3 linked regions of the Bombyx mori genome follow. The protein of the gene in region 2 binds, or shares a complex with, the protein of the main gene of each other region. Links are inferred from orthologs where the notes say so. Each region holds a gene or a part of one and is shown on either strand. Other genes may lie near its edges. The genes, in order: actin-related protein 2/3 complex subunit 2, actin-related protein 3 and actin related protein 2/3 complex subunit 4.

The links.
Region 1: actin-related protein 3 (region 2) and actin-related protein 2/3 complex subunit 2 share a complex: the UniProt entries of both Caenorhabditis elegans proteins name them as parts of the arp2/3 complex. The link is inferred for Bombyx mori from reciprocal best matches to the Caenorhabditis elegans genes arx-1 and arx-4.
Region 3: actin-related protein 3 (region 2) and actin related protein 2/3 complex subunit 4 share a complex: the UniProt entries of both Caenorhabditis elegans proteins name them as parts of the arp2/3 complex. The link is inferred for Bombyx mori from reciprocal best matches to the Caenorhabditis elegans genes arx-1 and arx-6.

Annotation. Positions count from the first base shown.
Region 1 is NC_085109.1:10,839,427-10,843,675, forward strand, and holds the start of actin-related protein 2/3 complex subunit 2, read left to right. Parts: upstream 1-1,292; 5' UTR 1,293-1,610; coding exon 1,611-1,684; intron 1,685-2,191; coding exon 2,192-2,285; intron 2,286-2,647; coding exon 2,648-2,747; intron 2,748-4,249. UniProt on the Caenorhabditis elegans protein: Functions as actin-binding component of the Arp2/3 complex which is involved in regulation of actin polymerization and together with an activating nucleation-promoting factor (NPF) mediates the formation of branched actin networks.
Region 2 is NC_085125.1:6,590,241-6,593,784, forward strand, and holds actin-related protein 3, read right to left. Parts: upstream 2,232-3,544; 5' UTR 2,083-2,231; coding exon 826-2,082; 3' UTR 509-825; downstream 1-508. UniProt on the Caenorhabditis elegans protein: Functions as ATP-binding component of the Arp2/3 complex which is involved in regulation of actin polymerization and together with an activating nucleation-promoting factor (NPF) mediates the formation of branched actin networks.
Region 3 is NC_085122.1:8,792,777-8,795,791, forward strand, and holds actin related protein 2/3 complex subunit 4, read right to left. Parts: upstream 1,447-3,015; 5' UTR 1,379-1,446; coding exon 872-1,378; 3' UTR 593-871; downstream 1-592. UniProt on the Caenorhabditis elegans protein: Functions as actin-binding component of the Arp2/3 complex which is involved in regulation of actin polymerization and together with an activating nucleation-promoting factor (NPF) mediates the formation of branched actin networks.

The sequences.
Region 1 (4,249 bases), on a different chromosome or scaffold from region 2:
AATAAATCTGACACAACAATCACTATCCAAAGTATTGCTAAAATAAGCAACCTAAGAAATTAAATGAACCAAATAAAGAAGCACCAGGTGACGATGTTAGAAAACAAACCAAAACAAACGGTATTACTGACCATAGATTATTTTTTTGGTACAACTTTTCCTTATTAGGAAAGGCAAGGGAATCTAAGCCCAGCCTTGTCTGTTCTATTGACCATAGATAATATACCTATCCATAGATTATACACTTAGTATATTTGAGATAACTACCTACAGATACGAAAGAACGAAAAATAGTTGACAAGACAGCAGCCAGAATCATGGAGTTAATAAGTAGAATACAGTAGAATATGGCCAGAATACATATTTTTTCTTTGATTCGTTCAATGAATGGGCAAAGGGAAAATAACTCATACAAGTCAAGTAGTGTGTTTGGATAATTTTTTATTTTTTTTTAACCTTGCCTATGCTGATAGTCTTGAGAGGCTATTTCAGCTTCGCCCTAACGTTTGTAGGCGAGCTCGCGGGGCTCAACCGGAGAGTTGCTAGCACTGACCCTAGCAAGAGCAGTGCTTCGCAGAATCTACCACCGGATCGGAAACGCGACCCACTGAGAAGATCCGGCGAGAAACTCAGTGGGCTTGGAAAAATTAGTAATTTGAATAATTAACATTTTACCAAAAGCCGAATGGTGCTAAAGGAAAATATACTCTTTGATGTAAAATCTTAATGAAATGAAAGGAATCAGGTGAAATGAAATGCTGTCCACAACCTCTCAGTATAATGATAATTCTTTTTGAGAGTTCAATAGACTTCTTTTTTAAGAAGGAAGGATTACTTGCGGCCAGTTACCTTTTTAGTTTCACCAAAAGATCTGAGTGAGTACGGACTCAGCCAGGAAGAGTGGAGTTTGTTACCAGCTGCCCGAGCAGCAGTAATTCGCTGAATCTACCACTAAATCAGAAGTGCCACACACTGAGAAGATCCAGCAAGAAACTCAATGGGGCTAAAGGAGATAAAAAGTATGTTGCTGAATCTTGATAACTTCACTCTGCTTTTAGGCGTAGTTTTCAGTTAAGACAAAAAAGACCCATATTCTGGTTTTTGACATAACCGACGTAAAGGTTAAGTTTTTACCACACAAGCACACTTTTTTTTATGATGTTTAATATTTTTCTCAAACAATTCATCAAAAAATAATAAAATATAGGAAAAAGTAGTAACAAAAGGACTGCAATAATTTACGAGTTCAAAAAAATCAATGACATGTCATTATATTCCTAAGAATTTAGGCTGATGTAAGCTTCGCTTGCATCGTGAATTTTTTATTAAAAATTGTTTATATGTATGTATATTGTCTTCATTTTGTAGATAATTGTCATTTTAGTTTCCACTAAAATCTAAGAACTTTTTAAGCTCTCGTTCATATATTCAATTTACACTCTATGGTTGCTTGTCGAATTTCATTAAATTTTTTCGTTTCTTTTCTCTGTCGTTTTTGGTTGTCTATACGCACGGGCGGTCATCGTAAAAATTCTTACTTAAAAAAATTAAATGAAGGTGCTCTAGGCGTTGATTTTATGAAATATCTGTAGGTTATAAATTGTTGAATAATGATCTTACTCGAGATCAATAATAGAATTATAGAAGAAACACTAACGGTTAAATATAAAAATGCACTGGCGCGGTGAGTACGTTACACTAGAAAGTTACTGTTTTTTTCGTGATTAGAATCAATTTATCGAGTACACTGTTTACGGTAGTTATTTAAATTTTAATAGTCATTATGATGATGACTCCTATAAAGATTGTATCCTGGGCATAACCCCTCCAGGGGAGGACTTGACAAGTGTCAAGATTCACTGGGGGTGGTCCCACGTTGACGGCTGGAGTACAAATACCAAGTGAATTGTGCACTTAGTGTCAGAGAACAGGTATTATTGGAATTAAATTCTAATGTGTCACGGTCACAGTGACGCGTTAGTGCCTATCACGACTTGGATGAGTCATATCGGTTGTTTATAAGTGCCACATATTTTTGTCTGCGGAAATATCCCATATAAAGGCTTAGAATTCCAATGACCATATTGCCCGTAAACAATGCACCGAAACTGATACCAAATGTCGCTACTAAGAGGATATGACTAATTTATTCAATAAATAAGTGTTTATTTTTATCCCCTTCTGTTTTCAGCTTAAAGCCTGAGTCAATAGATGTTACTGTAGCTGATTTTGATGGAGTATTATTCCATATATCCAATGTCAATGGAGACAAAACCAAAGTTAGGGTATGTATGACTTGATAAGTGATAGTTAAATCAAAGAAACTCAATACAATGATGTCATATTAACTAGTAATGTGTAGTTTTATGTTTAAAATTGTTTTGTTATTGGTTTGAATAAAAATGTCAATAAAACATATAAACACAAAACATAAATCTAGCAATTAAAAATGTAAAAATCAGTAGCTGAATGAGGTGAGAAAATAGGTTTGTTATTTGAAAAATTTGGAAAAACACCTGGAGGAAATGTTGCTAAACCTAAAAAAAATTCTATGAAGAATAAATAGAATTATGTTTAAAATTAAATATCAACAGACCTTCAAGCTTAGACTCATAAAATGTACATAATTACAAAAATATTATTTTAGGTTAGTATATCTTTGAAGTTCTACAAGCAATTAGAAGAACATGGAGCAGATGAGCTCCTCAAGAGGGTGTATGGACCCCTTCTTACTGAACCAGAGTCAGGTAATTACACAAAGATATTTAAATTTTGTTTTTTTCCTTATAATGGAAGAGATGTGGAGAATATATATATTTTTTATTGCCCTTGTAGGCAAACCAGCTTACGGCCGACCTAATGGTGAGTGGTTACCGTTGCCCATGGACTTCAGCAATGCCAGGGGCAGAGCCAAGTTGCTGCCTACTACTTAATTCTCCCACAAGCCTCGTTTGAAGGAGGACATGTCATAAAGTTCGGGAAACACGTTGATATTATGGTTTATCTGATGGTATCAGTTACTAAGAGTTCAAACTTATCACAACATGAATGATGTGCCCTGCCTTGAGGTATAGTCTAAATCTAAATTATATTAAAATAATGGGTATCCTATCCATGAAACAGAAACGCATAATAGCAACAGCAATGGGATGAAAAGCAATACTAACCTGTAAGGGTAGAGGTTTTTATATCACCAGTACTCTCAATGGGGGAGATTAAATAAGGGGACAGTTAATTAAGAATTTAGCTGAAGATTCTACCACTACAGATTGATGCTGAAGAAGTATTGGAAGTATTGTTTATTAATATATATTTATACACAACTGGATAATCTATTAGCAGTTTTGTTTATGCTGTGGTTGAAATTTTACTAAAATTACTGAAACCTCAGTGTTATTTTGTTTTTTTAAATATTTATTTTCTTTGTTTATTGAAATTTAGAGAAAAACAATTGATAATTTCTAAATTATGTTGATAAGGTTAATATTATTTTGTTGCACCTACCACTATTTTCTCGGCACTACCTTTGGTTGTCTGGTAGAGAATGCCTTAGGCATTAAGTCTCCCATTGTAAATTTTACATGAAGTGTAATAAATAAGTAAATTATTCAGTCTATCGCCAATTAAAAAAAACAGATTGACAACCAGAGATGACAAAGGTACTGAATTCCTTATTTATATTTAGATTATATAACATCACTTGGACTTATTCTACCTTATTTTCCTTAATTTGATATGTACTCATTAGTTGTTTTTGAAGGCCTAGCTGGCATTTAAAGTAAATTAATTTGTATTACATTAAAAACAGGAAATATGTATTTTATCTAAATTTATAGGAGAACATTTTTACAAGTATTTATTTGAATGAATCACATTACTGAAAAGGTGTTTTGAGTCTCCATACATTGGTAACTGTTATGCCTATTTCTACTGAAAAATATCTGGGATCTACCAAGATTTCTAGGCTTCAAGTACACGGTACAAATTCCTGTATGCATTTATGTTGTAATGTATAGGCTCCAATAATTACTTAACATTATGGAGCCGTGTATTATTCTTGTCATCTAGACCTTTATCTGCAACCTTGTCAACCAAAAGAGCCAAATATAGTATTATTGTATAGCATTTTGTTTTAAATATGTTTACTGAGCCAGATAATAAGTAATATTCCGTGCCTAGACTAAACATTTCGCGGAATAGCTATAGTCAAAGAGTCCCAAGAGCAGCGTGCGATAAATAACGAAGAAGA
Region 2 (3,544 bases):
TCGAGATCGTTAAAAAACTCGCACTAAGCACACTGATCCCTTAACAGCTTGAGTTCATCTAGCCATCTACAGCAACAAAAACTATCCTTAATTTATGCAGTCCTCGTTTTCGTAAGATTTCTATAATCAGATACATTCTCAAATAAGAGACATCCTAATATTTAATAATGTTTTCTATAAGAAAATACATAAGTTTAGTGATCTTTAACAATTAGGGATTTGACACTGCACTGGCCAAACATAGGGAATATAATGGGGCCTATGGTGGCATCAAAATTGGTATAAGAGGAATTTATCCCTGCAAATTTAATTATGGTAATGACTCGTTATGGACAATTGTCAATACTTTACTTTTATTTTAAATGTTCAGCCTCCAAAGATACTAGTTTACCTATGTCTATAAATTAAACATTTTACTTCGATTACCACACCAAATTACTGCCAAAGGTTAAGTACGACTTTTGCAATTGCAAATTTATGCATATAAAGGTTAATAAAACTAATAATATAATTTACAAGAATTTATTTTTCAATAAAAGGCTGGAATGCAAATGTTAAATGCTTAATATTGTACATTTTAAATCCAGCTACATAAAGTATATTCTGTAAGTATATATATTAAAATACACATTCCATATATTTATGACATGTTTGATAATAATAAAAATATAAATCTAAATTAAAAGTTTTAAGAGAGGATTGTGTGCATCTATGTCATTATTAAAACAATATTCATATTATACATAATTATTTTCTTCTACAAATTCATTATTTTATACGACAGTCTAAGTAGACATCATTAGTAATTTAATACTGGAAGGTTGTTTATGTCATGGTACCAAAAACAGGGTTGTGTCTGCAAATACTAGGACCATACTCCATGTATGCCTGTTTAGTATGGCAGACTTGGTAGAACTCTGGTGTTGATGCAAGCATACTGCCTCCGAACCACACAGCATATCTCTGCATGTTATGAGACACAACTTGTACATCAATCGGTTTAGGGGTAATCCGACCTTCAGATAACATAGTCGAAAGCTTCAATCTTGCATCAACAGCCCTCTTGATATCACGTTGTAACCTTCTGCCAAAGTCACGGAACATAGTCGAGCCACCAGACAACACAATGTTTCCATACAATCCTCGTCTAACATCAATGGGGCATGACTGAATCACTTCATCAACCATCTCATTCAAAGGTACAGTGAAATCAGCATTTGAAAATTCAGGATGGAAGAAAATCTCAGGTCCTAAGAATCGCTCGTAGCCAACATCGACTGTAAATGGGTTTTTAGTGATAGCATTGATCCCTGTGTACTTTTTCATCCATTTACCAGGATCGCTATCGTATTTTGCAAATTCTTTAGCAATGTCAGGACAGATATAACTGTATTTTTCTTTAATAGCTTTGGCAGTTTCCAAACTTTGCTCAGGAGGGATTCCAACCTCTCTTTCACGGAGTAATGATTGAATAAATGAAGTAATGTTTCTACCAGCAATAGGGATGTGTTTTATACATGATCCAATAACATATCCTTCTGCAACTGGAACAATGTGAGTAACGCCATCTCCGCTGTCTACTACGATGCCAGTGAAGGTGCGTTCAGCAGACGTACGTGACTTCCATGACGCAGCCAAAGCAAGAACGGCTTGTACAGCAATGTAAAGGCCTGGCACATTAAATGACTCAAACATGATTTCGGCTAAATATTCTCTGTTTTCTGGAGTGTTGAGCGGAGGCTCGGTCATTAAGAAATGATGATCTTCGGGTTCCGCACGGAGATACTTAAACACGCACTGTTCGATGTACCTTTCCATTAAATCCCAGTCTTCTACGATACCGTGGCGCACAGGATACTTTACAGAGTATCCTGTGGCTTCAAAAGCTTCATCACCGATGAAAAAATCCAAATCTTCGACAGCCTTAGTCATCCTCCGAGTACTCTGATCGCCAACTTTTGCAGTTTCTTTTATCGCTATGGTTGATGGAATAATAAACTGTGGTTCCTTGTTACCGGCAAAACCCAGTTTAGTATACCCGGTGCCGACATCGATAACACAAGCTGGTAAATGGTCTCCCATTTTTATTATTTAAAGTTTATTATTCAACTATATAGATATAAAATAATAAATAGGGTGCGGTAAGTAAGATAGGCAAAATCAGTCAAATATCTACGAATTAGTCAGTTTTGCCTTATGTATGACAGTCATGAAATGTCAGCAGACTAAATTGACGTCTCAATTTTTTTATTTAATGAATAGATTAAGGAAACATAACCTAAACAATCCTTCCCCAAATAAATGTTTTATTCAAATCACCTCCTAGTAAAATCCAAAAAAAACTGAGATTTATTTGGACATTATGGAAGAATCTGACAAAGCACCAAGCGACGTCCGGTGATTTTGTTTCAATCCGCCACTCCTGTACACTTTCACTAATAAAAAAAGAGTTTCTATACAATCACAATTCAAGGTTTAGTCTGAAAAGCCTGATACCATTTTAATTTAATTTAATAAGGACTTGAAACTTTTGAGTTAGATACCTAAAAACAAAAAGAAGTTCATTTAATGCATTCTTATTGTTATTATTTAGTTTTTAGTAGTAGCATTCGCTATAAACTTACTTGGAAGAAAGATATGTCACAATGCTCAAGAAAAGTTGCGGAGGGAATTTCATTTCAAAGTCGGATATTGGATTGAAAAAGAAATTTCTGGAAACGCACTGTCAATAAGCTATGATTCTAGAAACACTTAAATGGTACTTAATTATAAAATTAAATATACCAAAAAAATACTGCTAATTTCTAATAGAATAATGTTATTAATTAATAATCTGAGGAATTGTTTGAGATGATTCCATCACCGAATCCCGCAGGCGGGGGTACCAATTTTTCGAATGAAATACGTACTCAACAAATGTTCACGATTGACTTCCACGGTGAAGGAATAACATCGTGTAATAAAAATCAAACCCGCAAAATTATAATTTGCGTAATTACTGTTGGTAGGACCTCTTGAGTCCGCGCGGGTAGGTACCACCACCCTGCCTATTTCTACCGTGAAGCAGTAATGCGTTTCGGTTTGAAGGATAGGGCAGCCGTTGTAACTATAGGTACTTGAGACCTTAGAACTTATATCTCAAGGTGGGTGACGCATTTACGTTGTAGATGTCTATGGGCTCCCGTAACCACTTAACACCAGGTGGACTGTGAGCTCGTCCACCCTCTAAGCAATAAAAAAAAACGAGAAATCTTTTTTGCCACGTCCCATCCGGCTTTCGAATGAGTTCTCCTCCACGGTGTTTCCCGAGCGCTATAACTTGTCCTTCTTCAAACGAGGCTTGCGGAGAGTACGCAATGGTTGGCAGCGGCTTGGCTCTGCCCCTGGCATTGCTGAAGTCCATGAGCGACGGTAACCACTAACCATTAGGTGGGCCGTATGCTCGTCTGCCTACAAGGGCAATAAAAAAAACATACCAATGTGTCTACACTGTTTTTGTGCAAGTATCAAGCTTATGCTTGGACATGGTACTCAGTTTTCGTCT
Region 3 (3,015 bases), on a different chromosome or scaffold from region 2:
TTACTTTTTACAAATATCAAATTACAATAATTGTTTTTACCCATGAAAGCAGACAATCATGCTATCGACAAACAGTCTATGGTGGAATGTGGACATTGACAATTCAAGGAGCAAAATCAACATGCTGTCTTTGTCAAAAGGTATTACACTAAAGAACTTAAAGGGCTCCCAGTAGTATAATAATAGTCATAGATAGGACACTCAGCACATAGCACAATAGAATATGTCAACAAAGCCCCAATAATTATTAACATGTTGACTGCCATGTAAATCACCGGTGCCCTACGCGGCACACTGACGTAATAATGACGATTTTTCTCTTTGATCTACATATTAAAGTGCCGGAATATCTAGTAGAGTCTGGAAATGACTAATTCACAGGTACTAAGAATAAATCTATCTTTTAGAAGACCTAAAAGTCTAAAATATACATTAACAAACAAAAGAAGGCAAAGTTAGGTAATCCAGGCGTGTAGTAACAGAAATCAACGTAATTATTTCAGTGCGCCGCTTAGGGCACCAGTGACCTGCATTAAATTTTATATCTGTATGCAATGTATTTTCCCTGACCTCTATCTAAATAACGTAATATTTTTAATAGTTCAATTGTAGCCTGTAAGCACCTACCCATCTGTGCTTACCTGGAATAGGCCTTTAGGCTATCAAAGAATAAGTTCAGAAAAAATCTAGTTTCTTCTACAATTACATATTTAAATGTCATTTTTGTAATGATACAATTTATTTGTCTATGAAGGTTATATGAATTCCATCACTAATTAAAATTACATAGCCATCAAAGCAACAAATTTTTCACATGAATTCATACTCTATGTACAATAAAGATGTTTCATTCTATCACTGAAAGAAGTAGTTAAAATCTCTTCAAGAATTCTTCCGAACAAATTCTGGCTCTTGCATTGACAGCCAATTTCATTTCACTGATTTCTTTATCAATTTCTTCCATAAAGTATATTACAAAATCGACCAATTTATGCTTATACATCTGTTCGGTATGGAAGTTAGTAATCAAAAAGCTGATATGGTACCCATCAACTGGTTTCCTCCTTAATACAATGAAGTTTTCAGCTCTCATCATCATGAACCGCATAAATTTTTTACAAAGAATTTTCTCTATCTCATCCGCCTGCTTGATCATAATACTCACCCTAATTGAATTTATTGAAGACTCTATTAATACTTTTTCATTAGAATTTCTTGAAATAACAACAGGATTGAGTAAAAGTTCTTTGCTTGTTCTAACTTCGACCTCCGGCTTGGTGTATTTCTCGACAACTTGCGATGAAAAGTGTTCTAAGCACATAGCGGCAGTGAGCGTGTGACGCACCGCTGTTAGATACGGTTTTAAAGTTGCAGCCATTGTAGAAAATTAAACTTTCGCAAAGATCACGCCACACCTTAAGTTCCTTTCAATTTTTTAGTCATGAATTATCACCATTGATGACAGATTTGACATAAGCATCATTGTTTGATTCGTTCATTACATAGCCAAAGGTAAGGTAGGCCATACAGTCAAATCCAAGTGTGTTGTTGTGTGAAAATGTACTAAATAAAATTAAATGATTATTAAGGAATTGAATCTGAGGTAAGATAAGGTAAAATTGTAGGTATTGGATGAGAAATAATGAAATAACATCTCAGTAAAGTGGAGAGAATTTACTAAAATCTCTTAAATGCAGGGGGGTGCAACTCCCATACAAAGGAAAATAACATACAACTAGCGTCATCTTACTCCTGTGGCGACGTCATTTTTGTAACTTTTAGGCATTAATGATCTAATAAACTCACTAGATGGCATATATGAGTTCTGACTCAATAAAAAATGTAGCGTACTTTGAAGCAGTGCTTCCACTTTTAGGGAATTCTCCCTTTTTTAGGGAAAAATAGCTGATATTTTGGATGATAAAGACAATTTAAAAAATACCAGGATTTAGGATATTTCGGGGTAAAAAGCAAAGCCTATACTAGTAACTGTTGTGAATTTTAAAATAAACGATAATTAAAGTAAAACAATGAACATTTTATTTTATGGAGAGAGAATGACATTAAGTCGAGTTGACAAGTAAAAGAATAAAACAGAGTTGTGTATAAAAACTATAAAGGTTTGATTCAACAGTAACCTTCTAGTAAAGTAAATCATAGATTAAGCCACTGCTTTTTCTTAGGGATTCCCCAGAATCCCAATAAGTATAATCCGCCAAATTTTTATTTACCTATTTTCGTTGATGTCACCAGAACTTACTTGTATTGTAATATACAGGTACTTCATGTACCATGAAAGATTATCATGGTAATTTCATTTACGAAACCTTGTAATTGTCATTTCACTTTTGCTAGCAGTTCCTTCTTCAAAGACTGAGGTGGAAAGATTATTCAGTGTTCTCAAATTTAAAAACTGACAAAAGAAACAGGCTTTCTAATGAAACCCTGAACGGCTTGCTTCATAGAAAGTTCCCAACTTTGCCAGCAAACAATTGCTCAATTTTAGAACCGAACAGTGTTAGGTTGTGCAGCAAAAGAATATAAAAGCAATGCGTCGACTTCCTTGAAAATTCTAATCCTATAGATCTATGATCTTCTGGGGGCGTTTATATTATATATACCTACATTAAATAATATGCTGTGGTTTATTTTCTGTATTTTATTTACGCTTTCTATATAAAGGATTTATGAAAGTTGTCTAGGAAATTTTAGGGTAAATTCAAAAGAAACTAGGGTAAAATGTGTTAAAAAAAACGTAAGTGGAAACACTGCTTTGAAGTTTTCAAAATTCCAGGGCCGTAAAACAATCTCAAAAAAAAAAAAAGTTTTCAAAATGTCGTAACGATTTAATTTTTTAAATCGTTTTTTTTTGGTCTTGGTGTGAGTTATTTTACGTTGTAGTATTAATTTAGAGCAACTTTTAGCTTTATGAGAATATTAGACGATTAGACATTGAGAAACTCTGTTTTGAATTCTCTTTAGACATAACTTGGCTCCAATACTTTTTTCTTCGTT